7 linked regions of the Nothobranchius furzeri genome follow. The protein of the gene in region 7 interacts with the protein of the main gene of each other region in a biochemical or structural test. Links are inferred from orthologs where the notes say so. Each region holds a gene or a part of one and is shown on either strand. Other genes may lie near its edges. The genes, in order: ptpn6, asap1b, eno1a, tamalin, ptpn11a, stat3 and proto-oncogene tyrosine-protein kinase Src.

Evidence for each region.
Region 1: of the proteins of proto-oncogene tyrosine-protein kinase Src (region 7) and ptpn6, one has a biochemical effect on the other in vitro, tested with the Homo sapiens proteins (2 studies listed by BioGRID). The link is inferred for Nothobranchius furzeri from reciprocal best matches to the Homo sapiens genes SRC and PTPN6.
Region 2: the proteins of proto-oncogene tyrosine-protein kinase Src (region 7) and asap1b form a complex in vitro, tested with the Homo sapiens proteins (2 studies listed by BioGRID and IntAct). The link is inferred for Nothobranchius furzeri from reciprocal best matches to the Homo sapiens genes SRC and ASAP1.
Region 3: of the proteins of proto-oncogene tyrosine-protein kinase Src (region 7) and eno1a, one has a biochemical effect on the other in vitro, tested with the Homo sapiens proteins (4 studies listed by BioGRID). The link is inferred for Nothobranchius furzeri from reciprocal best matches to the Homo sapiens genes SRC and ENO1.
Region 4: of the proteins of proto-oncogene tyrosine-protein kinase Src (region 7) and tamalin, one has a biochemical effect on the other in vitro, tested with the Homo sapiens proteins (2 studies listed by BioGRID and IntAct, with this or other methods). The link is inferred for Nothobranchius furzeri from reciprocal best matches to the Homo sapiens genes SRC and TAMALIN.
Region 5: of the proteins of proto-oncogene tyrosine-protein kinase Src (region 7) and ptpn11a, one has a biochemical effect on the other in vitro, tested with the Homo sapiens proteins (2 studies listed by BioGRID and IntAct). The link is inferred for Nothobranchius furzeri from reciprocal best matches to the Homo sapiens genes SRC and PTPN11.
Region 6: the proteins of proto-oncogene tyrosine-protein kinase Src (region 7) and stat3 form a complex in vitro, tested with the Homo sapiens proteins (3 studies listed by BioGRID). The link is inferred for Nothobranchius furzeri from reciprocal best matches to the Homo sapiens genes SRC and STAT3.

Annotation. Positions count from the first base shown.
Region 1 is NC_091745.1:73,963,578-73,967,524, reverse strand, and holds part of ptpn6 (tyrosine-protein phosphatase non-receptor type 6), read left to right. Parts: intron 1-1,217; coding exon 1,218-1,314; intron 1,315-1,404; coding exon 1,405-1,484; intron 1,485-1,567; coding exon 1,568-1,714; intron 1,715-1,863; coding exon 1,864-1,995; intron 1,996-3,617; coding exon 3,618-3,769; intron 3,770-3,947. UniProt on the Homo sapiens protein: Tyrosine phosphatase enzyme that plays important roles in controlling immune signaling pathways and fundamental physiological processes such as hematopoiesis.
Region 2 is NC_091747.1:45,635,413-45,639,359, forward strand, and holds part of asap1b (arf-GAP with SH3 domain, ANK repeat and PH domain-containing protein 1), read left to right. Parts: intron 1-154; coding exon 155-262; intron 263-3,947. UniProt on the Homo sapiens protein: Possesses phosphatidylinositol 4,5-bisphosphate-dependent GTPase-activating protein activity for ARF1 (ADP ribosylation factor 1) and ARF5 and a lesser activity towards ARF6.
Region 3 is NC_091755.1:28,673,345-28,675,975, reverse strand, and holds the end of eno1a (enolase 1a, (alpha)), read right to left. Parts: coding exon 2,581-2,631; intron 2,478-2,580; coding exon 2,255-2,477; intron 2,152-2,254; coding exon 1,954-2,151; intron 1,828-1,953; coding exon 1,626-1,827; intron 1,540-1,625; coding exon 1,431-1,539; intron 1,302-1,430; coding exon 1,243-1,301; intron 1,161-1,242; coding exon 1,097-1,160; 3' UTR 666-1,096; downstream 1-665. UniProt on the Homo sapiens protein: Glycolytic enzyme the catalyzes the conversion of 2-phosphoglycerate to phosphoenolpyruvate. In addition to glycolysis, involved in various processes such as growth control, hypoxia tolerance and allergic responses.
Region 4 is NC_091755.1:37,123,145-37,127,565, reverse strand, and holds the start of tamalin (general receptor for phosphoinositides 1-associated scaffold protein), read left to right. Parts: upstream 1-1,351; 5' UTR 1,352-1,471; coding exon 1,472-1,666; intron 1,667-3,184; coding exon 3,185-3,237; intron 3,238-4,421. UniProt on the Homo sapiens protein: Plays a role in intracellular trafficking and contributes to the macromolecular organization of group 1 metabotropic glutamate receptors (mGluRs) at synapses.
Region 5 is NC_091746.1:40,330,334-40,334,280, reverse strand, and holds part of ptpn11a (tyrosine-protein phosphatase non-receptor type 11), read left to right. Parts: intron 1-708; coding exon 709-828; intron 829-928; coding exon 929-1,042; intron 1,043-1,264; coding exon 1,265-1,361; intron 1,362-1,457; coding exon 1,458-1,537; intron 1,538-1,648; coding exon 1,649-1,804; intron 1,805-2,330; coding exon 2,331-2,462; intron 2,463-3,097; coding exon 3,098-3,252; intron 3,253-3,328; coding exon 3,329-3,396; intron 3,397-3,798; coding exon 3,799-3,947. UniProt on the Homo sapiens protein: Acts downstream of various receptor and cytoplasmic protein tyrosine kinases to participate in the signal transduction from the cell surface to the nucleus. Positively regulates MAPK signal transduction pathway. Dephosphorylates GAB1, ARHGAP35 and EGFR.
Region 6 is NC_091745.1:6,831,458-6,835,404, reverse strand, and holds part of stat3 (signal transducer and activator of transcription 3), read left to right. Parts: intron 1-241; coding exon 242-485; intron 486-572; coding exon 573-665; intron 666-787; coding exon 788-869; intron 870-971; coding exon 972-1,072; intron 1,073-1,257; coding exon 1,258-1,409; intron 1,410-2,851; coding exon 2,852-3,010; intron 3,011-3,154; coding exon 3,155-3,247; intron 3,248-3,380; coding exon 3,381-3,440; intron 3,441-3,521; coding exon 3,522-3,551; intron 3,552-3,674; coding exon 3,675-3,768; intron 3,769-3,858; coding exon 3,859-3,906; intron 3,907-3,947. UniProt on the Homo sapiens protein: Signal transducer and transcription activator that mediates cellular responses to interleukins, KITLG/SCF, LEP and other growth factors. Once activated, recruits coactivators, such as NCOA1 or MED1, to the promoter region of the target gene.
Region 7 is NC_091743.1:58,638,444-58,643,074, forward strand, and holds the start of proto-oncogene tyrosine-protein kinase Src, read left to right. Parts: upstream 1-1,663; 5' UTR 1,664-1,876; intron 1,877-4,631. Other genes in the region: protein MANBAL, read left to right, coding at 289-399. UniProt on the Homo sapiens protein: Non-receptor protein tyrosine kinase which is activated following engagement of many different classes of cellular receptors including immune response receptors, integrins and other adhesion receptors, receptor protein tyrosine kinases, G protein-coupled receptors as well as cytokine receptors.

The sequences.
Region 1 (3,947 bases), on a different chromosome or scaffold from region 7:
ATGACGATAATTTTTCGATATATTGTGCAGCCCCCCCCCCCCTCTCTATACATATATATATATATATATATATATATATATATATATATATATATATATATATATATATATATATATAATTAAGTTATCTTTGAGTATTTCAACATCAACAGTTTTTGTGAACAAAGATTCAGCAAAAAATATAAAAAAGATTAAAAAATTTGCTTGGCTAGAAATCTTAAAACTAGCGAAATAGTCTCATTTTAAGTTTATTTGCTAATTTTAAGATTTCTAGCCAAGCAAATTTAGCTTACCCCATTGGCAGATTTGTTTTTAGTAAACAAAAAGGACATTTTGATGATATTTAAGAATATTTACCTTATTTTAAGTAGTTTTATTTTTCTCGAGAAGAATTTATTTTCGTTTAGATAAAATGTTTAAAAAAATTGAATTTTTTTCTTTTTTAGAACTCATTTTTTGCAGTGTAGCTGTAAAATCTACTTAACCTTCACAATCCTCATGCATTATGTTATATAGCTATAGAGCACAGCTTTAAATTAAACATTCTCCTGTAAACTAGAACAACAGGTTCCTTGATCGTTTTTTTTTTTGCCTTTTATTTTAATTCTAGTTTTTTCTCCTGATCTTTCGTTCTTCCTTACACAGGATCAGCTTTCCATTTAGACCTCCAAACCTTGACCGATGAATCAATAATGCTAAAGAAAATGAATAAAACATCCTGAGCTCAACACATAACAAGCAGCTGAACAAAGAAACTGGTTTTGAAATACGGATCTCCAGGATGTTTGTTACCAGCAGCTGGACACAGACACCAAATCTTTTTATTTGTTAACATCAGTTCTTCTAAACCTTTATCATTTAGGACTTTTTTCCCAAAGCTCACACATCAAGTTGCCTCAGTTTTTTCTGACACACTGCACAGATATTTTGACTGAACTGGACAGAAAACGGGTGAAAAATCTGCCAAAATATAAAAAGGATTAGTGAAAAATCAAAGTGAAAATGTTTGGTCATCCTTTTATGAGACCTACAAAGGTTTAAATAGAGGACCAGAACAAAAACAAACAAGGTCATTTAGAGAATAGCTAGGAGGAATTAGGAGTTTTTCTTGTTCCTGCATATAGGAAATTGCAAAAATACATTTATTTTGATGAGTTTGTCTCAATAAAATCGTATGTAATTCCCAGTATCTGACACAAATATCTCTTCTCTTGCAGGCTCTTCAAAAATTGGAGACGAAGGTGAAAAAGAGCAGAGAGGAAGGTCAAAGACCAGAGAATAAGAGCAAAAACAGATACAAGAACATTCTTCCCTGTGAGTTTTAACCTTCTGGTTCTCGCTCTGTAAACAAAAACCCGGTTCTGTGACCAATCCTGTCTCCCTCTTCTTGTCTTCTCTCACAAGTCAACGACACCAGAGTCATCCTGAAGAACGCTTCTCCTGATGTCGTCGGCTCCGATTACATCAATGCTAACTACGTGAAAGTAAGTGGTGGAACGCTCTGGACGAGCAGCGCCGCCGTCTGAAAACCGTCTGGGCCTTTAGCGTGTTTGTGTGTTGGTTGCAGAACAAGCTGTGGGAATCTGTTGGACAGAAAAAGTACATCGCCACTCAGGGATGCCTCGCAACAACCGTCAACGATTTCTGGCAGATGGTGTGGCAGGAGAACACAACTGTGATTGTCATGACAACGAGAGAGGTGGAGAAAGGACGGGTCAGTATCCAAAATGACAGGAACAGACACTTAAAAAAATCCAAACATTCCTACTGAATAAAGATGAACTTTATTGGCTGAGATGCAATAATCTACATTTGCTGATGATATTAGAGATTATCTGAGTGTCTTTTTTTGCTTTTCTGCAGAATAAATGCGTACCATACTGGCCGGAAAGTCAGACTTCCAAGAACGTGGGAGATTACGTGGTGACCTGTGAGTCGGAGCGGGAAGCTTCTGATTACAAAGTTCGACATCTGAAGATCGCTCCCGTGGCTAAGGTCACTTTCAAACCTCTGACATCATCAACTCTGTGCACTTTAGTCGTCCCTCCTTCTTTTAGATTTTCTTCGTTGTGATCCTTAAAGCAACACTAAATACATTTCCTGCCTCTGCTGGTTGAAAGCAGAAATACAACTGTTATAAACAACCTTGTAGCAGCCTGTCGTAGCTAGCACTAACAAGCTAGTGCTAGCCAACTGATACTGAATAAACCACAAAGTAAAAAGTTCCACACTGTTGGAGAAAGGATATTATTACTTACACGTCCAGTAGCAACAAAGCCAGGTCACCATCAGGCCGTGATTTTGCAGCCTCGTTTAGCTCCCTCAAACTAGCGTAGGGCGTGCCGATGTTCACTCAGGTTTTAGCTCTTTGCTTCTGCTCCAAAGACATTACTCTCTTACTCGAATTCTCTGCCATGATGCCAACAAAAAAAGCAAAAGTCGTCTTCTTCTTGACAGTAAGTGAACCAAAAAAAGCTAACTAGCCTTTTTAGCTAACTGCTAGTAGCACAATAAACAACTAACCCCCAAATTCCACTACCTCCGCTCCGCTCCGCTCCGGTCCGCCCCCGCCTTCCGCAGCCGCTCGCTTCCGAACTCAATTTTTACTGGTATCCGCTCTACAACGGCTCCGCTCCGGTGCGGAGACCTGAGGGGGGCAAACAAGCATGCGCGGGATTTTCGAGATCTTGCGATACAGTCCGAGCAATAAACGCGGAAGTTAGATCCAAACACCCGTTGTGCGGGAGAAGCATCGAAATGAGCTGTTTAATCTGCCCATCATTGTGTTGAGAGATCAGCAGTGTTTGGATCAACAAAGTGTGACTACTTTGATAGTGGCAACTGTATTTATGGCTTATTTTTGTGCATTTAAACTTCAGCCGCCATTGATAGTTGTTAAAAGTTGTTAAACCTGTGCATATGAAACAAAAAACGCCTTTTGTTTATCGATTTATTGTGAAAAACGGAAGATGTGCTTGCTCCTTTTCCTGTTGGGCCGTTGTGATTTCTGTCCATTTACTGCGGAGGTGCTCCGGCGTCCGGCAAAAATAGGATCGATTCTATTTTTGCCGGACGCCGGAACAGAGGGCGCCGCACGGCGCCGCACTGCCGGAGCACGGCCGCAGTAGTGGAATTGCTCTGATTGACTAGAACGGGACCGATTTTGCTCCGGCGTTCGTGTCGGAGCGGAGCGCAGCGGAGCGGAGGTAGTGGAATTTGGGGGTAACAGCTATAGAACAGGGTAGAGATCTCCCACCAGTGTTCCTACCCAAACCATAGAACTGTTTGGTCCAGTTTCTGGTCAGCAGGGGGAAACGGAGTGCTGTCCAATGTGAAGTCGGTCAAATTTATGGCTCAAAAACCACTGAAACCAGTTTGAAAGCAATAGCTTAAAGTATCTTCAGCCTTTGTGGTGGTTTTTCAGATCACTTTAGTCCAGAACTATAACATTTTGGAGGAAACATTTGCATTTATGTAATAGATTAGAATAAGAACATCCTTTATAGTCCCCTGATGGGGAAATTTAGGTGTAACAGCATCAAAGTACATTCACAAGAAGATTAAAAGGCTGTAAAGTAAAAAATATATATCTGAAACCATTTTTTTCTCACTCCCAGCCCAATTTTTCCCGTCCAGTATGGCACTACCAGTACCTCAGCTGGCCCGATCACGGCGTCCCTCAGGAACCAGGCGGAGTCCTCAGCTTCCTCACCCAAGTCAACGCTAAGCAGGACGAATTTAACACTGGTCCTATGATCATCCACTGCAGGTACCGAGTGCCTCGGGTCACTGCTGAGTCACTGTATTACAGAATAAATATCACCATAGATGTGCCTTTTTAATTTCCTAATACTGTTTTTTTTTGTACATAATTCTTTGAGGGTTTAAGAAACAAAAAATTAAGATTATTAGGTGAACAACGGGTTTTTATTCCACTGATTGTAGGA
Region 2 (3,947 bases), on a different chromosome or scaffold from region 7:
AACGCAGATCTGAACAAGCAGAACCAACGGGGACAAAAATAAATCTAGTTTAGAGGGATTGAGCTTTGAAATCCTATCATAGTTTGCTTTTGCCATCTTGTTGTAGTTTCCCATAACAAGAGCAGCTTATAGATAGTTTTGTTGTCTCTTTCAGCTTGTCCAGGCTGCAGAGGGGAAGTTCAACCCTCACATCCATGTGGAGTATGAGTGGAGCCTCCGCCTGGAGGAGATGGACGAGAGTGATGACGACCTGGATGATAAGGTGCCTAAGCTGCTGAAATTTGCCCCCGGATTTAGAAAAACTTGTGAATTTTAAACAAAAAAAGGCAGCATTTAAGAAGATCCAGTAAAAAGTCACCCTGATGACCTTTTCTTCTGCCGTTCTGCTGGTGGATTATTGGATTTCAGTGAGAGCTAATCTCTGTAGCTTCACTTGCTGGAGGAGAGCTAGTATTCATTGTCTCTAATGTTCATCAAGTTAACAGCTGTTCTAGCCAAGACTGGCTGTGCATGCAAGAAAAACAAAGCATTATTTTTACTCTCTTTATAAAGTTGATGTACAACTGAATATGAGCTGTTTTCGCTTTAAAGGTGCAGTATGTAAAAATATTGTGAGAATTTTACAGCAAGAAAATCCCAAAGGTGCTTTTATAAGACACACCATGCCGGTAAATGGGCGTAATATTACCGCAATGGTATGTCTGCGTGGCTGCGTGAATTTTGCGGCATTCGTTCCGCCTCGCTTGGTAGTAATATTGCGGTAATGGTCTGTCGTATGCGCCCCGGCGCAACAGAGGCAGATGTCATGATGACGTGGGGAGTTATTGCTGAGCTCCGGCTGGCAAATCTATTGAAAATGAAAGTAAACACAGGCAATAAGGTTTGCTTTTTGTGCAAAATCAGCTGAGATGGCAAACTGGAGCGCCGCAGCGCTCCATGAGCCTTTTTGTTAGAGCTGAAGCTCAGATCACCAGAGACTGCACAGGGACTGATGGGGACAGACACCTTTAGGAGCTGCTTGTTAAATAAAGGTAACGATCACGGCTTCAATCGCAATAAAAAGCAAGTTATGTCCAAGATAAACGGAAGCCTGCGGCAGCGCAGAGCCCAGCCCCATACCCCCTTTATGCCGCCATCACCTAATCTTTTATAAAATTGCCACGATTGCGCCACATTACCGCCATGGTCTGATCTTATAAACAGCCTTTATCCTCCCTAGAGAGCCGCGGCAAATCCTGTATTGAAAATGCTATGGTCCTGTAAAAACAGCTCAAAACAGTCAAATGTTTCAGTCATGAAGCATGTTTCATATCCAGTTGGCTGCGGGGATTGTCAGTTTTTCCTCCTTTCCAAACAAAGGAAGGAGGGACGTCAGGGTTTCCCCCAGCGCCGCCAGGCTTTGCTTGGCCACCCGCTAGGCTAAGAGTCATGCCCCGCCCCCCTCCCCGACCCTACCGTGTCCGCTGACACGAACGGCGCAACGAAACTAGAGCCCCCCCATCACCTGATACTGTTGAGAAACAGCAGCAGAACGTGTGCAATCACCCCCGCTGTCACAGAGGAGCGCTGCGAGATGGAGCGCGCGATCCCCCCCTTCCCCGACGGCCGAATCCGCCAGGGTTAACTAATTTTCTGGGGGAAACCCTGGACGTAACTATTGTTTACCATCAGTGAGTGTGGGGTTGCCGTGTCCCCTGCAAGCTAATGCTGCAGCGCTGACAATTGTAATTTGACAATGGCCGGCAAACAGCTCCAGAGTTGTTTAAATTGGTGGCAGTTACTAAATTTTACCACAGGACGTAATTTTTACTTCATTTCGACACAATGCACCTTTAATGCAGAAATTTTAGGGCAAACAGATTTCTTAAAAAAAAAAAAAACTTTTTTTCTCCAGTATCCAGAGATTTGCTGCTCGTTATTTTTGTCAATAAAGATTTAAGTTGCTTCTTTGCCAAAAATGTGTAGAAAAAGTAAATTTTTCTACCTTGATTTTCAGAAATGTGCAGAAACCACATTGGGGGGCTGTTAGCTTGAGTCAGGTTTAGCTTTAAACGTCAAGAAGCTGTACACACGGGCATTTAAAACTGATGTTGTATTATTGAGTTAATATTTTGCAGTAACTTCATTGACTTGTTGAAAACGTTTTGAACTGGGAAGTGGCTTAAACTTTAGCGAAAGTCAAAAGCAGAGGCATGTGGCTCCAATGACACTCTTAGGCTTTTTCATGTCTAAATTTGAGAAGAAAACAAGATATTGATTTAAAAATGGAAGAAACAAGCATCAAAATGTTTCTTTGTGCTGAAGAAGAGCCTCCCTTCAGGTTTGTTTGTTTGTTCTTATTAAGATCCCCATTAGCCACTGTTAAAACAGTTGCTATTCTTCCTGGGGTCATATTATCATCATCAAATAAACATAAGGAATGCATCAACACTGGGCTCACAAGCAAACTATCCATTTTCATCTACAATATTCATATCCACTATAATGTAAAGGATGGGTAGTTTACATCTTACTTATGAACCATAAAATGTGAGATTCCATAGAAATATGAAATATCAATCTGATGGATCTTTGAATATTTTAACCAAAAGATCAGAACTTTTTATTGCAGGGATTAAACGACACTTCGTATTAACTCCAAGGAAAGAGAGAGAGTCAGGTTTAAAATAGTTAAGAAATTTATTTCTACACAATTTAATCAAGGCTAACTTTAACACTCTGTGTACTGATGGACTAAGGTGGGGTGAGACGTGATGAATGATGATGGTGTGTGTGTGTAATGTTATTCAGAACCAGCGGATCCGGAGAAGCAGTTAGTTCTGAGTAGGAGTGAATGTTTCGCTCTAAACTTTAGTAGGAGATTTATAACACACATGAAACGCCATCTGTCGGTCTACATACCCAGGGGAAGCCTCCGATCAGATCCAGAATGCCGAGGTCCTTGTGGACCCTCTTTGGTACCGAAGCCAGTAGAAAAGCAGCGGTGCTGACCAAACCAGTCTTGGAATGCTTCCAGGTCACGACAGGTTATCACTGGCGTCTCCGAGACCCTGAAGGGGTCGTGAGGTTCAGCTTTTATTCTGAAGGAACCGTTGCGGTCAGGTGTAACTTCCAACAGATTTTATCAAGCTTGTCTGAGGTTCTTTATGGCTGAAGAGGAAGTCCGCATGGCCTGTCCGAGACTCCTCTAGAACACTTTGAACTAAAGAAAAGGCGGCGTTGAATAGTCTTTATAATTGTCATATTTTGGTTTACTGGCGAATCAGAATTTGACATGCAAAAAGAGGGTTTATACAAACACCACAGAAAACCACACCTCATGCCAGAAACAAAGGTTCTGATTGGATCAGACAAAAGGAAATGTGTCGTGTGACTTTAGCATTATGTGTCCTTAGTGTCTAGTGCAAATGTCCAGGATTATTATTACTTGTAAAATACTACTGATCACAGGATTATAATATCAAGTAATAACATTGTCATTTCACAGATTGATTGAACATTGGGCTCACATTATTATTGGTAATTAACAAAGTTGTTGATTATGTGTTTATCAAAAGAGTGTTCTTCGTCTTGAGCTGTAACAGAGGTGAAGCAGTTCGAGAGGGTGCTCGCTGCAGAACTACAAAGGCGGAGCTGCACCATAAGGTGGAGCTGCACCAGAGTCAGCCCCGCCCATTCACGCAAACTCAGCCTAGCCCACTGACTTCCGTTTTTGTTTTCAACTTTATCGCAAACTGACCTGACCCACATGAATTACGGCTGTTACTAGTTTACAGTCGTTAATGCTATGTTCTATGCTCCAATTAAACAAGATAAATATAACTTGCTACATGACAAAGTCTGAATATATCCCGAAATAAAAAAGTTTCTCTTAGCGAATATCTGCCCACAGCCGCTCTAATAAAACTCCTGTACAACAGCATGTACCATCACCATGTGGGTTCTGT
Region 3 (2,631 bases), on a different chromosome or scaffold from region 7:
GATTAGAGTTTGTGAATCTACTTTTGTACTCATTCAGCAACTTAGGTCAGGTGTACAAAACGTGTTTTAAATGTGAAGATGCGCTTAATATGACCACAAGATGGCGCAAATCTCAAATTTTACTCTGGCTGTCCTACTGAGTAGTGTTTAACCCATGATGCAGCACTGGTTTAAAATCCAGCTGGGTTGTTTTATAGTTTCAGTGTTTGAGTTTATTTTTCATACAACAAACCTGCAGCAGCTCAGTCATCTGTAGAAGCCTCTGCGTGATTGGGATCGTTTCTACGCCAGCAATTTGTAGAACATCTCCTAGGTGATGATTAAACAATGGATGTAGGTTAAGAAAGGGCTCAAAGTAAATTGTGTGGCACAAACCCAGCTGGCAAACAGCTGAGGTACCATAACACTGATGGATAGACCATCATTTATCCTCTAAAGGCTTTGTGTAAAACGAGGCGCGATTCTTTCACCCAGGGGATTAATGGAAATTTCATGTCACAGCACTCAGCTCGTGTTTCCATCCCAGATTACATTTCACAGAAGCAGAACCTAACCCAGGGTGAGGTTTTCTACAGTTTGTCAAACTCTATTACTTCAGTGCCTTAAATGGGTTTAGTGCTGAAGTCACATGTAGGATTTTTTATGCAAATAAAAACCACAAGGAAAACCTTTGAAACTATATTATTTTATTATATATTTCTGCCAACAGTTACAACACAAGACCTCATCGGATGCAACATTGCACATACAGTACTCTTACCACCGCTTATAAGGCAGAACCTTACTAAAGTTACAGTTGCTCAAATAATCAGGACCAAGATCACTACAACTCACAAGAAGCTTAAAGAAATCTCACACAAAGCAACACGGACACAAACACAGAGACCAACACTATAACGGGAGCTAAAGCATGGTTTCAGGATGAGCTGAGCCGTGGCTGCACCAGGATGTAGTGTCGCTTCAATGCCACAGATTGGACCTTGGACTACAGAGGTTTCTTCTTCTCCTCTCCATATACGGCAGGAGACCTAACGTGGCGTACATGTGTGGAGATTATGAGCAATGAACACGCAGTGGCCCGAGGAAGAAGGCCCGCTCAGATGGGGTGCCTGAAGTTCTGTCCGGCAAAACGGGCCTTGTCACCAAGCTCCTCCTCAATCCTGCAAGAAGGTCAGGTTTTGGTTTCATGCCATTTATGGGATCAAGTGCTATGAGCGGTGTGTGTTTTGGGGGCAGACTCACCTGAGGAGCTGGTTGTACTTGGCCAAACGCTCAGACCGGCAAGGAGCACCCGTCTTAATCTACGTGGGTGGAGAAAAAATAAACATTTTAGATCCAAATCTGCAATCGTATAGAGAGCCATTTATAGTTACAACTTCAAAAATTATGAAAAAGCCATTGTTAAAAAAGATAAATAAAAAAAATCCCACCTGTCCAGTGCAGAGGCCAACCACAAGGTCAGCGATGAAGGTGTCCTCCGTCTCTCCAGAGCGGTGGCTGACCATAACACCCCAGCCGTTGCTCTGCGCCATCTTGCAGCTGAAATAAAGAGGAGCCCCGTTATGTTTACCGCCTTGAATCGTGGCAGTGTTGTGGTGGCGGTCAGCCATGTTGTGGGCACTCACGCCTGCAGAGACTCTGTGACCGAGCCGATCTGGTTGACCTTCAGCAGCAAGCAGTTGCAGGATTTCTCATCGACTGCCTTCGAGATGCGTTTGGGGTTGGTGACGGTGAGGTCATCGCCCACCACCTGGATGCTGGTGCTGCCTGTGAATTTGGTCCATGCTGCCCAGTCATCCTGGTCAAAGGGATCTTCAATGGAAACCACTAAGAACAGAAAGATGAAAAAGCAGAATAAAAAAATGTTAGACGGATGTATTGGACAATAAGACTGATCTAGTTCACTTTGCGCTTTTGTTTGTCTGAAGAAAGTTGTAATTTTCAAAAACCAACCTGGATAGTCCTTGACAAAGCCCTTGTAGAGATCAGCCAGCTGGTCAGGGGTGATGTAGCGGCTAGGGTCATCAGGGGACTTGAAGTCCAGGTCATACTTGCCACCCTTGTAAAACTCAGAAGCAGCCACATCCATGCCAATGACGATCTTATCAGTGTAGCCGGCCTTGGCGATGGCATTCTTCAGCAGCTCCAGGGCTGTCAAAACCAAATTACAGAGGAAACTCGAATAAAATGTTCCCAATTAAATGAATCCAGTGAACACGGCTGTGTTGCCCTGCAACAGTACTGTTTCTCACACCTTCTTTGTTCTCCAGGATGTTTGGGGCAAAGCCACCCTCATCTCCCACATTGGTGGCATCTTTGCCATATTTCTCCTTGATGACATTCTTCAGGTTGTGGTAAACCTCAGCTCCGATCCGCATGGCTTCCTTAAAGCTGCTGGCTCCAACTGGCAGGATCATAAACTCCTGCATGGCCAGCTTGTTGCCTGCATGGGAGCCGCCATTAATGACGTTGAAGGCCTGAAAGGAAACAGGGGAGTCAATGATAAGATTCTCGGTCCAACATTCCTTTGTTTAACGTGTGCAAACCACCTGCAACCCAGTATTTTGTATCAATACTCACGGGGACAGGGAGAATTACTTCAGGGTTGCCAGCAAGGTCAGCGATGTGGCG
Region 4 (4,421 bases), on a different chromosome or scaffold from region 7:
AGAGGAACAGGAAAGAAAAGCTTGAGCAGTCAGTCTTCTTCTTTGGACCAAATTTAGGAAAATGTGTTTGAGAGCTGAGAGATACTCTCCTAAGACCACAAAGTCATTACATGTTATCTAAGATTTGACATATTGGCTCAGAATATTTATTCTAATTTATGCAGTCTTAATTTAATGCTTTTCAGTCATATCATTTCAATATATATTTAAGGTGTAAATGTAACATTTCTGAAATAACTCCATGTAAAGATTTTAATAAATTGTCTGGACTGAAGTTTTTGTTTTAATTGTTAAAAGCTCATTTTGTAGTTAATGTTAGATTTAGCTTCAAATAGGGTGTGATTACACTTGAATCTGGAGTCACAGATCTGGTCCACTACCAAAATGTTGTCTTCCCTCTGCTTCTCTTTGCCTTTGCCAATGAGGGGATTGATCTTTGCAAGGTAGTATCCCCGTGTTCTCCAAAGTAAATGAAAAGTAAGGTTTTGTGCAGGTTAGAAATCCATCCCTCACCTGCTATCTGAATAATCATGACACATGTGGACACTGTTCCGGCAAATGTTACTCAAAACTTTTCAAAACTTGTAAAAACAAACAAACCAGAGCACTCTAGAAAAAAAAACAACAATCTGGAGTTGCTACGATCACGTGTTGAAAGACCGGACCAATACTGCTCCAACGGGAAAATGCCATAAAATCAATGCAATGTTACAGCATCTCTGGAATACAGAGTCTGAGACAGCAAACGCACAGATTAGTCTGTAAAAGAAACCAAGCAGTCAAGGACAATCAGCTAAAGTGGTATGATTATCTGTGTAAACGGACTACTATGTAACAATTATTTAAATCGACTAATTATTGTCAGGATCATATTCAACAATCCAAAAAGAAAAAAAAATATTTATAGTATGATTAAATACACAAGAATACTTACACTGCAACTTTTCTCAGATCCTTGCTGGTATTTAACAATTGCATCATTTTGGTCTGTTAAATGTCAGGAAATAATTAAAATGTGCTTTAAATATTTGTGTGATTAGTCCATTTCCATAGGAATTAAAATATACGTTACTGTAATTTAAATGCCCGATCTGTGAATGCTGAGTTACACGAAAAATGATCAAATAAAAGCTAACACTCGTAGTTGTTTTTCACTTTTATTTTGGTGTTGGTCAAATATATGAAGAATAATTCTTTAAGATATTCCACTTTGAACGAGTATAATTTAGAAGTACATTTACTTTATTACACGTTATTTAGGACTGTCGTTAGTGAACGTGAAGCAGAAACGCCCGAGGGGCCCTGAATGTGCCGTGGAGCGTAGCGTCTCGTGCCACTTAGAGTAAGCTCCGCCCCCTGCTACTGATGAGAGGCGACACTCAAACGGAGGAGGAGGTAGAAGTAGGTGATTCATCAGCTCCTTACCAGGTCCTCTGCTGGAGCTCAGCGAACCCTTTCATTCCCAACAACGATGACTTTCAGGCGGCTGAAGAAGGCGAACTCCAGCGGTCCGGAAGGCGGACCCGCTTCTCAGGACGACATTTATTTCCCTTCGTCCAAGTCCGACAGCTGCAGGAGCGTGGAGCTACCTGCGAGCTTCTCGGAGGTTTACAACTACAAAACTCTGGCTTACTCCGGCGGGACGCTGCCCAGAAACCTCAAAAAGGTCAGACAAGATCCCCTCGGCAGCAGCCTGACTATTGCAGCTACAAGTTTGGCGTTTAACTGTTTTTAAGGTGACTTGACAACTAGTTGGGTCCTAGTTGGAATTGGGTGACAAGCAAATGATAAAAAAACCATGTTTAACATATATTTTATGGATACATAAATAAATAATTGCCTCTGTGAGGTGCTTGAAAATAATGAAGACTCACTTTGAACGCGCTTGAGTTTGATCTAGAATTCTGCTTACAAGACAGAATGATGCAAGTTGTTGCATCCTTTCTGTTTATAAACGGCGAGTTGTTTATTTTTATTCTGCTGAGAGAAAATCTTAGAATCACACACACACACACACACACACACACACACACACACACACACACACACACACACACACACACACACACCACACACACACACACACACACACGTGTGGTGATTGTTCTTGGATGGAATTGACTGAGCTAAAGCTGATGATCTGGCTTTCTGGAGAACACTTTGGTGTTTTTGGAGATGATTAGTAAACTTGATGAAGACTTAAAATGAAAGTAGTCAAATTCAAAGGACTCCTGAGTTCACTCGCTGTCCTGAAGGCAGCTTTGTGATTCATTTGAGGAAGTGACTGCTCACCTCAGCTGTCCCTTTGTACATTTTCTGGGTTGTTTCTCATTAACCCTGAAAACTTAACTCTAGTTTTGAGAGCGGAGCAGAGCAGATCTCTGGAGGCTTCCCTTTCCTCAGAGCTGGGATGCACAGTGGGACACAGTGACAAGCCCACACACAACCAGCGTGCTGTAATAAGGGCGAGGTGGCTACAACACAGCATTGTGCACTCCCACCAATGCAGATCCTGTCGAGACACCCCCGTTGGACTCTGGGTACTTGGGAATAAATGCCCCCATTGAGACGGCAGTCCTGTAAGTGTTGGGACATTAAGAAAGCAACATTTTAGTGGGCTGGGAGATGAGAACACAAAGCAGGCTTTCAGAGAACCACATTTGAACATGATTGAGTTGGAACAGAGGTGGATTGATTTGGGTGGTTTCCCACAGGCATCTGGACTGATACCTTTTCTTTTGTTTATACAGTCAGGTGGGGCAGGGACCCAACCTGCCGCTGATTCCTCTCAATGCTGGTGTTGTAGTTCACCACGCTGTCTCACGTGTTTCTTTACCGAACAGTTAGGTAGATGGACAAGCGCTTCGGGGACATCTGACTTGGTGTGAAAGTTGGGCTAAATTTAGCTGAATGCCTTCTTTGAAGGTAAACAACAGGAGCCAGACATTCATTTCTAGTTTCGTCGGTGTGGTTCGAACCCGACGGAATGGATCAGTGGTTTTAAAATACAAACAAACCGCCTGGCACGCGTCTGCCATTACAAAACCTGCTGGACCAGTGCACCACAGGTGTGTCCAGGAAGTGCTGGGAGCTGATCTTAGGGGGAACCCTCATGACTCATCTTGCTCTAACCTCTTGTAGGTGTCTGACACGCTTCACGTCTGGTTTTGTTTTCTCCTCACAGGGAGGTGGCCCACAGAAGTGGAAACCCCTCACACAATCAGCAGAACCACAAAGGTACAGTCTCCCACATTGTTTTGGTCTTTGGCCCAGCTCATTGTTTTTCCTTTACGCAAACCTCACGGCGACTTCCCCTTAAGTCAGAGCCAAGCTTGTGGTTACAGATGATGCCATGAATTTGCATGTCCCCCTACCACTGAGACGTCCTTCAGTCTTACAGATTATTGTTCTGTGTGTCTATCTCTGATGTCCAGATGCTGATGGGCACAGTCCCATGCAGCTATTAAAATCCTCAATTTTTTACTTTAGATCAGGGCCATTGTGTGAATTTCCACTTGTTCAATTCAAAGATACTTTATTAATCCCAGAGGGAAATTAGAGTTTCAGTACACACACAATTCTGAGATCAGACATACATACATAGACACATGACAAGAATTGGTGACTGTGGTCTTTCGCAACCCGAGTCGCGCTACCTTAATAGAGATCAGAGGGTTTACATGAGGATTGGTTCAGGTGGAGGAAAAAAAAGGCACTTCAGAGTTACCCTCCACAGAGAGGGCAGCTTTGCTATGCAAAAAAACACCTCAGACAGAAATGCAACAGACTTCAGACATCACACAACATAAGTGTCCACTAGGTGGGGAGGTAGGGTTGGGACTCTTCTCACATCAGTGCATGCAGCCGCGATGAGCAGCGCCCGTCACCTCCGTCTGGACAGGGGAGGGAGGTAATTGGGTTAGAAAGCCCAGTGACTCCTGGAAACGGTTCCACGACCTTCACCAACTAGTTGTCAGTCCCGCCCAGGCTGGGATAGGGAGATGGAGTTGCCATGGCAACGGCAGCATTCCACATGTCTTCTGAGGGGGAGTAATTACTTCAGCCTCACAGGCTCAAGGGCACCAGATTCAGATAAGAACATGTTTTGGGGACAGACAGAGATAATTTCCTCTCTGTCTTAGGCCGGGGACACACCGGCCGCCGAAGCGCCGGGAGGCGAAGCGCTCACGAAATTCGGCCGCTGCTCGCTGCTCCTCAGACGAGACGCTTGTTTCTCCGCTCCGGTCGAGGCACGCCTCGCAGTTTTTCTTTTAACCACTTGGTGTCCTCCATTTCCTCTCTGCTTTTTCTCTGCTCTTTTCCTCTACACCCCCCTCCCCCTTGCTGTTTGTATGTGTGTTTGTACGTGTGTGTGTGTGTACGTGTGTGTGAACTTATGGTGTGAATCAGTTGTTAATAGC
Region 5 (3,947 bases), on a different chromosome or scaffold from region 7:
TCAGCTCACTGTTTTATTTTCAAGTGTCAAAAGTTCATTAAAGATAGGACTGGTGGATTAATCACAGCCTTTACAGTAAATAATCTAGTATAAACAGTAATATACACATTTAAGTACATTTTGCTCAGTGTATTTTTTATGTGTCAAACGTTTATTGAAATGAATGATTGATTTATCAGTGTTTACAAGAAACAATGTGCTCAGAAAAGTAATACAAACTGTCAAGCACATTATGCTCTGTTTGGTTTTGTTAATGACTTTGTTCTGTACTGGAGCCTACTATTACTGTTATCTATTGAATCAAAGCATATTAAAATGTGCTTGAACAATTTTATCATTTCTTAATGTTTGTACTGGAAGAGAGAATGGGAGGGGGTCGTCAAAAATTTTACTGGTAAAAAACGGGGTCCCTTGGGAAAAAGGTTGGGAACCACTGCTTAAATAATAATTTAAATCCGTCCCTGAAGAAAACTTTTATTGTGGTTAAATGAAACATTTAACCAATATCACAGTGCTGTTTGCTGATAGTTTAAAACCAAGGTGAAGTTTCTCATTTATTAGACGTTTATATAAAATGTTCTCGGATCCGACTGAACTGTGACGGCGTTTCTTCCCACATATCATTAACAAGGTGGACCCAAAGCATCCTTCTCTTCACATTTGTACCCAACACGGTTGTCTGATGGTGGCTTGTTTCTTCGTCCCCAGCATGACCTGAAGTACGACGTGGGTGGAGGGGAGAAGTTTGATTCCCTCACAGACTTGGTGGAGCACTACAAGAAGAACCCCATGGTGGAAACCCTCGGCACCGTGCTTCAGCTCAAACAGGTCCGCCTCGTTTTAGTTTCACCCGTCCTCAACCACGTGTAGCCATGATCTTATACTGAAGCACCTGATCTGTGAACGTTTGTTCTGCCTTCGTCCGCAGCCCCTAAACACTACTCGTATAAATGCAGCAGAGATTGAAAGTCGAGTTCGAGAGCTGAGTAAACTAGCGGAGGCCACTGACAAGGTCAAACAAGGTTTCTGGGAGGAGTTTGAGGTGAGACTGAAGCTTTTAGACAGACTGAGTGTAGAAACCAGGAAATTAACCCTGAAGTGATTAAATGTTACTGATTGATAAATAAAGAGATAAGACAAGTGATATAGATTTGTTTTCTTTTAAAACATTAAAATATGTTGGTTAGTGATGTTTTTTCATTAAATGCTGTAAGTTATTGTGGAAACTGTCTTGTAAATGTTGTCTTTCTTTTTCCTCATTTAGACTTTACAGCAACAGGAGTGCAAACTGCTCTACAGCCGCAAAGAGGGTCAGAGACCAGAGAACAAAAACAAGAACCGATACAAGAACATCCTTCCTTGTGAGGAACCTCTACGCCTCCAAGTGTGATGATTTAGGTACCAGCTGTTGGGACGTTTGAACCAACCAGCTCTTCTGTTTTTGTTTGTGTTTGCAGTCGACCACTCGCGTGTGGTGCTGAACGACGGGGACCCTAACGAACTAGGCTCCGACTACATCAACGCCAATATCATCATAGTAATACCTGCTGCCTTCATCAGGACAGACACAGCTGTTCTGTGTTGTCCGTTAGTTTGTACTTCAGATATTTGTGTTTGTTGTTTTTGCTAAATGTGCGTGTGTTTGCAGCCGGATGTGAGCCTAAACAACACCAACAAAGTAAAGAAGAGCTACATAGCTACTCAGGGCTGCTTGCAGAACACCATCAGTGACTTCTGGCGGATGGTTTTTCAGGAAGAGTCTCGAGTCATCGTCATGACCACCAAAGAGGTGGAAAGAGGAAAGGTAATCTACACGAGTTGGGTACAACAGCAGTGACTAAAAGTTTAGAGAATAAAACAAATATCAGTCAGAATGTTTGCTGCCTCAATTTTATGATCGTTTACATCAAGTTTAGAGGAGACGTCAGATGAAGGACAGTTGATCACAAAAGTCCTCGTTTGAAACTAAGCTCATTTTCATACCAGACTTATTTTCACAGCATTTGTAAATAAGCATCTGACAGGTATGGGTTTTCCATCTCTACCTCCTCAGTGCAGTTTCACATCTGTTTCCATTAGTAACGGGTACCAGGCTGAGTTTTGTGAAACTCCCAGAAAGTAATCATTACATGTACATCAACGACTGAATAGGTTTCTAGATGACCACAGCTAATCAACATCACAAACATATTATACCTCTATTAGTCAGCTAAAAGTTGATCACAAAATCTCTGATTGCTTGATATTACATCAGGGTGTTTTATTAGTAATAGTAAAATCAGACGTTTTTCAACAAAAGCTGAACTAAATGAACATAAATGTTTCAACAGAGTAAGTGTGTGAAGTACTGGCCAGACATGTCTGCTCTGAAGGAGTATGGCGCCATGCGTGTTCGCAATGTCAGGGAGACGACCGCCCACGACTACACCCTACGAGAACTGAAGCTGTCCAAAGTTGGGCAGGTAAGCTGTTGGTGGTTTGTAGGAATAGTTTTATTGACCATTATGACTTTAGTATTAGTTAATGGTTAACTGAAAAAACATTTTTAATGATTATTTCTGATTATAATCGGTCACTCTTGAGTTTTAATGCAGGTTGAACATGAAAATAGTTTCTTACACCAATCTCCTGCATTAGCTTCTGATAGAAAGTAGACGGTGAATTGGACTTACCCATATTGACTCACGGTGGGGAAGGCTGTTGTTGTTTTATTGTCCAGAATCAGCAGAAAATGTCTCAGTAAACCGAAGATAAGCGCTAGCGTTAGCAACTCACTCACACAGCTGAAGCTCCTCCAGGCTTGTTATTTGTGGAGGTAAAACATCCATGTCCCCGAGCAAACAGAGTTAGTGGTAGAGTCGCGTTGCTGTTGTCCAGTCTGAGGCAAGATGTCCAATTATCTGCTGAGATAGGGGTTTGTGGGCTTTTTGTGGCCTGAGTTCTGCCTGCAAGGCATTCATTCCTACTGGAGACTACTGCAAATGTATTGGTTAAACGAGTGATCCACAACTTTAAATTGTTTTCTTCTTGGGGGTCTGAAAATTATTTTCATTTTACTGAAGTTCTTAGTGACGCACCATCTAAACATTGTTGTCAGGCTAACACAGAACGCACAGTGTGGCAGTACCACTTCAAAACCTGGCCAGACCACGGTGTTCCTGCTGACCCAGGTGGTGTACTGGACTTCCTGGAGGAAGTCAACCTCAAACAGGAGAGCGTTGCTGATGCTGGGCCAATAACGGTACACTGCAGGTAGGAATCTAAAAGACACGGGGGCGGCGGCGCTGGAGGGAAAACCTTTACTCCGTTTCTGTTTGGTCTTTTCCAGTGCAGGGATCGGGCGGACAGGAACATTTATTGTGATAGACATCCTGATAGATGTGATCAGAGAAAAGGGTGAGTTGGCTTTTCATCAGCACAAGGTATACATTAGCTATAACACAAAAACATACTTTATTAATGAGCCCTTCAGCTGAACAGCAGGGTACAAACTAAAACATCCCTGTTATTGTTATTAAAATATTCTCTCATCTTTGTCTCTGTAACATGCTGTGACTTTAATAAAATTCACCACATGAACGATATATAAAAAATAACCTAAAGGAATGAATGTCTGTACATGTCCTTGTATCCACGGTTCCCAGAGGTTTTAAACTTTTAGTCTGTAGTTGACAAAGATAAAGTAAAAAGCATTAAAATGAAGTTTGTGCAACAATCAGAAATTCAATTCAATTCAAATTCAAAGATACTTTATTAATCCCAGAGAGAAATTAGAGAGCAATTTTTCTGTTGCTGCAGGGGTGGACTGTGATATTGATGTACCAAAGAGCATCCAGATGGTTCGTTCTCTGCGCTCTGGGATGGTGCAGACGGAGGCCCAGTACAGGTTCATCTACATGGCTGTGCAGCACTACATAGAAACCCTGCAGAGGCGCATAGAAGAGGAG
Region 6 (3,947 bases), on a different chromosome or scaffold from region 7:
CCTGGGTGTGGCCAGCAATTTTGTAGGGGTGGCCATGGCCACCCCTGGCCACTCCTTGGGGGCGCCACTGTCTTCTAGGTTTTTGATGTTGTCAGATTCATAGCAGTAGTTTGCAAAACAGGTCACGTGTTCTGACATTTAGTTTGTATGTTAAAAAGCTTTCGGTAAGTTGTAAACAAAGTGCTCTTGTTGTTGGGAGGAGTACGTGTAAGTCATTATAACATTGGTGATTTTCTTTAAGGGCTTACGCTGCTAACAAGGAGTCACATGCCACATTGGTGTTCCACAACCTCTTGGGGGAAATAGACCAGCAGTATAGCCGCTTCCTGCAGGAGAACAATGTCCTCTATCAGCACAACCTGCGCAGGATCAAACAGCACCTGCAGAGCAAATATCTGGAGAAGCCGATGGACATTGCCCGGATTGTTGCTCGTTGTTTGTGGGAGGAGCAAAGGCTGCTGCAGACAGCCACCACTGTTTCACAGGTACATAAAATATAACCAATCTAACAATAGATCTTTGTTTTTGACACAAAGCTTTTGAATGTAAATGTTTTGTTGATTGTGTTATAGAACGGCCAGGCGGCCCATCCCACTGGAACAATAGTGACAGAGAAGCAGCAAGTTTTGGAGCACAACCTTCAAGACATCAGGAAGCGGGTGCAGGTCAGTTAAATAAAGGACTTAATCTGATAACGCTTCTCTAAAACGGCTTAACGCTACCGAACCACATCGTAATGGTTTTGTTCAGACAGAAGTATAAGAACATTATCGTCTGTTCTTAACAGGACATGGAACAGAAGATGAAGATGCTTGAAAACTTGCAAGATGATTTTGACTTTAATTACAAAACCCTGAAAAGCCAAGGCGGTATGTTTTAATGATCACTTTTCCAGACTTATTGGGGATGTGTATTGATACAGATGCAGGTAAGCCTTTAGCTGATCCACGGTATGTTCATCCTGTCTCCAGAGCTGTCCCAAGACCTAAACGGAAATAGCCAGGCAGCTGCCACTCGACAGAAGATGGTTCAGCTGGAGCAGATGCTGACAGCCTTAGACCAGCTCAGGAGGGTGGGTGTCTGATAAACATGGTTAGAAGCCAGATGGAAAGACATTTGCAAACTTGAAACAAAGCGAACACACCTCTATTTGTTGGTTTAATAGGCCAAAGGGCAGTTTTCTAATGCTTCAGCGTTAGTTGTGGCTGGACTGCTGTTGGTGATTTCTGTTTTGTTTACTTTGTGTTGTGTTAATAGCAAATCGTGACAGATGTGGGAGGCCTGCTGACTGCCATGGATTATGTACAGAAGAATCTAACTGATGAGGAACTTGCAGAATGGAAACGAAGGCAGCAAATCGCCTGCATTGGAGGCCCACCAAACATCTGCCTCGATCGTCTCGAAACATGGTAACTAGGGGTGGGGGAGGAGGCGGTCTAGTTTTTACTCTACATGAAACACAAATGGTTCTGAATTAGTTAAATAATTTTCAAAATCCAAGACCATGGTCTCGAGTCAGAAAAGGGTAGAATGCCTTCTCCAGATCAGGGACGAGGTCTTGCCCCAAGTGTAGGAGTTTAAGTATCTCGGGGTCTTGTTCACCAGTGAGGGAAAGATGGAAAGTGAGATCGACAGGCAGATTGGTGCTGCTTCTGCAGCGATGCGGGCGTTGTACCGGCCTGTCGTGGTGAAGAGAGAGCTGAGCTGGCAGGCAAAGCTACACTTTGCAGACGTTACGCGATGCTTTGGCTAAATGTAGAACATAGCTGTAACTATGCATGTATTACGTGAAGTAACAAGTGATTGAGGCTCCTTCCTTGACTTGAGGTTCATTTCTGCCGGTGAATAATTTCACTTCCTCTGGTACAGATGTTTCTATTCCATCCCTATTAGTCTATCTGTAGTTTATTTTTTAGCATTTGTTATTTTCTTATTTTATCAGATCCAAGTCAGATCTTGGATTTTTTTTAAATAATTTTCTGAAACCTGGCAATTTTTCACAATAAAACAAAGTCTAGAAAGATTTTTGTATGAAATCTGATTTACGTTTAGCGAAGGATTATTATTATTTTTTAACAAAAGATTTTCTTGTTTTAATAAGAAGTTATTAGAAATAAATTCCTTTTGGGTCATTCAAATATAAAGATGTATTGATAATATTTGTGTTATCCATCACAACTGTCTCAGTCATAATTGAATTGAATCATGAGGATCCTAAAGATTCCCACCGCTGGATTTGAAAACGGGAAAGACAAATTTCAGTCGCCAGATTTCATCACTGAAGTTTTATTGAAACGACAAAAACCTTAAAAACTTCACAAAATCACATAAACAGGAAGTCAGAAATGTTCCCGTCTACATATAAACTTGTGTGGCCTTTGCTGGTCCGTAAAAGAATTTATTGGGGAGACAATGTAAGACAAGCAGCCATGCAGCTGACAGCTATGATCACATTAGTTTCTGTAAGTAACTCAGTATTCATGTATTTTACTGTGGAGGGAAGCTTGAGTATCCAGGGAAAACCGTCCATGCCAAGGTAGAACAAGATCTCTGCATCAAGGTCCACACCCGACAGACACGTCTGCTTCTCTGGGCTTCGGCGCTAACGCCACCCTCCTGAAAGAAGACTTGATGAACATGAAGAACATAAAACCGTTACATCTCTGAGTCGGTGTGAATGAATAGGGTCATTAGAGGAAGTGGAAAATGCAGGTAAAATTATAACCTTCAGATTGTCAAGAATCCAGTTGTCTTTGAACTTTTGGTGATCGTTCTTCATCTCTATTGACCTCAGTAAAAAGAGCTATTCTGTAATCATTTTACAACACCCTTAATTTAATGTTCTGATCAGGATCACATCCTTAGCCGAGTCCCAGCTCCAGATTCGTCAACAGATCAAGAAGCTGGAGGAGCTTCAGCAGAAGGTGTCCTACAAAGGAGACCCCATCATTCAGCACCGGCCCGCCCTGGAGGAGAAGATTGTGGATCTGTTCAGGAACCTCATGAAGAGGTACTAGAGACTGTCGATGGGCTTTCCTACACAGAGGATGAGTCAAAGTTCAGCTTCCACCTACATACCAGATGTCTTCAGACAACTGCTGTTTGCTCCATTGTTTCTCTGTAGCTGTTAAAATCCAATCCTTGTTTATTGTAGTGCCTTTGTGGTTGAAAGGCAGCCGTGTATGCCCATGCACCCAGACAGACCCCTGGTCATTAAAACAGGGGTGCAGTTCACAACTAAGGTCAGGTAAGAGCCAGGTCCAAATCAGAGAAACGTGCATATTTCTACACGTGTCTAAGTTTTTGATAAAGCACGTGGTTAAAAATTGCAACATTTTGTCACTTTATTTTCCTCATTTGTTCTTGTGTTTATTCTCAAGGCTACTGGTGAAGTTTCCTGAACTCAATTACCAGCTCAAAATTAAAGTCTGCATTGACAAGTAAGCAGTTTTTTAGTTTGGTTTTAAATCTGCTTTGGGATAAAAATGACTGCTTCACATACTTTTCTGTTCACTTTTCAGAGAATCTGGTGACGTGGCTGCAATTAGAGGGTAAGAGTACAAGCGGGCTTTCTGAACGAGAGTGATGCTAGAGAAGGGTCTTACTTCCTGCTAGAGAAGGGTCTTACTTCCTGCTAGAGAAGGGTCTTACTTCCTGCTGCGTCTGTTTACCAGATCACGAAAGTTTAACATCCTTGGTACCAACACAAAAGTCATGAACATGGAGGAATCCAACAATGGCAGCCTTTCTGCTGAGTTCAAACACTTGGTGAGCTACAGGAACAATGTGTTACTGAGTAAAGTGACGAAGCGATTGATAAAGGCATTCTCTGAAGCACCGACTTCCTGTTTGTTTCAGACCTTGCGGGAACAGAGATGTGGTAACGGTGGCCGGACTAATAGCGATGTAAGTCTTATCTTACATTTACGTGGAAAGTATGATGTGAC
Region 7 (4,631 bases):
TATACCAAAAACATTTATAGGATTATAAACATGGAAACATTCCTCCATAACTGAATTGAAAGTTATCAGCGTCTCTGATTATTTTCTGCATTGTGTCGCTGTTTCTTTTACTCGTTTATTCTGCTGGCAAAAGGAAACATGTTGGTTTCTTTTGTTTGGTGTACACATGGGAATTTCCTTCTTCTGTTTGTTTGGTAAAGCTGCATTTAAGCTTGGAAAAAAGGAACATATATTCATTCCATGCGTTTAGCCGTTTAGTTTTTAATGTTTCTGGTGTTCGGCCCACAGGAGGAGACAGAGTCCACTGATGGGAAAACGACAGAACCAGTGAAGAAACCCAAAGGACCAGCACCTCAGATTCGACAGAAACCAAAGAAAGAGAGCAAAAAGAAACGATAGAGCTTTGTGCATCTGAGTTTGTTTGTTTTTGTCATCTGATACATTTTAGTTATTATTACAACACTACATGGAACACATTTCTCAATGATCCTACTTTCATATTCACACAGACTGCAAAAAAACACGATGTTCATTGACAGTGAAGAGTTTTCGTTTCCCTTCATTTTATTAATAAATATTGAAGATATTGTTGGAAATGCATGTGGATTACAACTGACCAATAAAGTCATTCACCTCAGCTGTCTTTATGATTGTTTTACTCATGTCTGTGAGTCAGTTAAGTGTGACTGGTGTTCAGCTACAGACACAAATATCATAGGGAGATTTGGAGTTTTGCAATGTATTTAAATATAAAGAATAGGTAACTTGTCCATATTTGATCTCGATGCTTTTGATTTATTATGTAAATTTGGGTTTATTTGTGTCATTGTAACTTTCTTTCTCTTGAAATCGCATATCTAGAGAGAATTTTTTCATAGCTAAAAATTTCATTAAGCCAAACGTCATTTTATAAAAAATACTTTTATTTCTATTACAAAAACATTAAAAGGGAACTTATTAAAATAGATGATTGCGACAGTAATTTGAAAAATAAATTGATAAACTATGCACTGATTGTTCACAAGTGCAAACCTTTACATTTACTCAGTTACCAGATTATTTTAAATTACAACGTTGTGGAACAATAAAACTCAAAACTGGGGCAAATGTTTTCCAAACGTCAACAACCCCGGAGGGTTTGACTTTAATGCGACAGTCACGTTCTGCTGTAATGGAAGTGTTGCTAAGCAACCACTTTACGTTGCCTGTACTTTAAGCAAATCATCTCAATTAAGTCATTGCCGGGGATTTGTTATGTAACAAAGTTGTGTATGTATTGAACAGATCTAAAGGGGTTAAACGCGGCAGCGGTGTTCAGAATCTGTTCGTGTCATGCCCAAAGTGATTCCCTTCACAGAGCCGAGTTGCGCAGTTGTTGTCGTAAATTCTCCCGACGCTCTTTGAACGTAAATCTAGTCTTTTCGTGTTCGCCCCTGGTTCGCCCTCATGTTTCGTAAGCGATGCGCTCTCTCCGGCGGCTTCCTCCCCCATACGAGGCTGGTCTTCCCCGGATAACACCGCTCCAGCTCGTTCGCATGATTTTTACTGCGCCGTCGCCTCCTTTCCAGCTGGACCGTCTGCCGGTGCTTCGCCCGGACCACCGCCGCCGTAGCTCACCGCCACCACCGCGGCAGCTGCGCTCCCTCCTTGAGGAGAATCAGTCCTCGTCATGACCTCTCTCCCTTCCTCCGGTGATTCTTCTGATATTCGCTAAATGGGATTTGCGGCTGGACTGAGGTTTCCACAGCAACTGCCCGTCGGCTTCCATATTCTTCTGATGAGAACAGCCATACGAATCTGACCGGGCTCCTCGCTGCGCTTCTCTGATTTTTTTATTTTATTTTTTTGGGGGGCTGAATCACAAGACGCGTCAAAGGTAGGTTTAGTTTATTACAGCATGTAGCGGCTTTTTCTCTCCTGGCGAGGAGATTGTTTACAGTTTTGGGGCCAACCGCGAGCTAACAATTAGGTGTTAGTCTGTTTTCACACATGTATATATGCTGTGGTCCCCTACACACACATACACACACACACACACGCTCATTGTTACACAGGCCATTCAGAGACCACGGCCAGTGCAATGATTCAGTCTGAGCCGGGGCTTGCCCCTTAGGACTTACTACAGACCATAAAAAACAAAAGGTTTGTAAAAATCGCCATCGTGGCTTCGTCACGACGCCAGATGCTCAGAGAAAATCCGATGAGACGAGTTTGCTCTGAAAAAGAAGCCAACAATCCATCGAAATCCAAAATGGAGCTGTAACAGCACCTGTTTTGATTCATCAGGCCACATGCACTGGAGCTACCGCTGTCTGTCACTGAGCCCTCTTAAAAATAAGTCAATCCACGTTCCCATTCACAAATCCAGAAACCACCTGAAACGGATCGCCCTGCTAACTCTGGCTGGTTTTTAATTAGGTTATGTCTTTATTTTTATTTTCTCCCCAAGCAAAGATTCCGTTTTGACAGTTGCTACTCCCGTAGGCAGCAGCCACCCCACCCCGCGTTTCATTGAAAGCAGCTTTGCTGACAACTGGTGTTTAATCCCGTGGAAATAGAATTTTAATTATGTGGCTAATAGTTTATTAGCAGATAGTTTTTTTTTGGGGGGGGGGGGGGGGGGGGGCTGTTCCAGCTAATTTCTGGGAGGAAAGAGATCCAGGTTTCTTATTAAGGAGGAACTTTAATCCTAAAGCCCTAGTATCTGAGCTACTGGTGGACTTGCTGATCCACCAAACATAAAGGAAGCTGCAACATCTAACTGGGCTGTAAAAGCAAAATTAAATATTTTTATCCCATAAATGGGGGCAAATGGGTGATAAACATGATGTTCTGTTTTTGGGTCATTCAAAATATTTGGCTCAATTGGCTGCAGCTATGTTATTGTCTCCATTATTTATTCATGCGTTCATCTGTTTTAGTCAGCAGACATTAAATGTACAGACAGCTTCCTAAAATCAAGGGTTGGCTAATCTGGAACTAAAGCCTTCAGTGAACTCCCACCTTTCCTGATCTTGTTTGGTGTTGATACTAGGAACATTTCAGGAATGTTTTCCTGCCTGTTTTCAGGTAATTCCGACTGCTTGTCATGTCTCACTAGTTGAAAAGGTGTTCCCTGAACACCGACTCATGAGTTATGTCGCAGAACTTTTTTGCATGGAGGCTTCCAGGTGAATATCGACTTCAAGAAGACCAAAAGGTTATTTTACTTTCCTAATGCCTTCAGTGTAAAAGTGAGTGGAGACTTTAGACATGTTTTGATCAGAGGGAGTATTATAAATAAAATGCTCTCATTTGAATAAATGTAAGTCAGAAATGGGGCGTACACGTAGAACAGGGTGAGTTTTAAGAATTTGTAAATGACGTGACATCTCTGACATGAAATGGCCATCATGTCCTGTAAAATTAATCACGCTGAAGCAGCCGCTCCCCACGGCCAGGATCACTGGTTCCCAGAGCCTTCAGTCAGAGATGGACGGAAGTGTTTTTTCTTTATCAGCTAAGTGCCTCAGTCTGTCCGTCTTCCTCCTCCTCCTTTTTTCCCCTTGTCTCTCCTGAGTGTGTTTGCCAGAGGACAGATGAGATGGGAGAGCTTGTTTACCCTTTCCACACATGTTGGATTGTTCATGTAAAGGCTTAGAAGACAAGAAGATGTGGTTCTGATGTTCATTGGACCTAATCAAGTCCATTTCTCTTCCTCTGACTATGTAAAGTAGGACAAGACGGCAATGCCAATGTGAATGCTTCCTCTTGTTTTGATCATGGGGAACCATCGCTGACCCCTCCCCACCTCCTCTTCCTCGCCTTCTCTCCCGAGGGCAAACTGTAATTTCCCCATTGAACTGAAACATTAGCCAGAGCTCCTTCAGTCTCTGCAGCACAGCAACAACTGGTACCGTCTGTTGTGACTCAGTCAGGTTTGTCATAGCCAAATGTGCAGCAATAGTGTGCTCATCATCACAAGAAAAATCAGGGTTGATAAGACCTGGGACAGGGGGATGGATTAGCAAAAAAAGTGTTCTGTTTCCTACGTAAAATCTTAGCACAAGGTAAGACTGACTTCAGAGCCACAAATGTTTTTGTTTTGGGTTGTCATTTTATCAGCTTAAGTCACAATCGGTGTGATCAGACATGCCACGTTCACGTGCTGAATGTTCGGAACTATTTCTTAAAGAGCAAGTCAACTCGTACAAGAAACTTACTTCACTCCCTCTTCATGTTTGAAAAATGCAACAAATTCTGTTGCCTGGCAGACCGAGAGGGCGGAGCTGCTAACAAATACACACAAAGACAGGCTCACGACAGCATTGTGACATCATAATGTACCAGTTTACATCATAGCATACCTCTTAACCAATAGCGGTGGCAGATTTAAATTAAAATACAGTGCAGAGTTTTTACCTGACAACGGCACAACACTGCCAGTTTTAGGCAGAATATTTGAATTTTAACTAAGATGCACTGAAATGCCAAATTATTGACGACACGTGTCTGCAGCACGATTAGACACTCGTTTATTTAGTTTATAAGCAAAAAAATTTTGATTTGGGGGGGTCTCACTCCAGACTCTCACTCCACTCCCACTTACTGAAAAATGCAACAAATGCTGTTGCCTGGCAGACCGAGAGGGT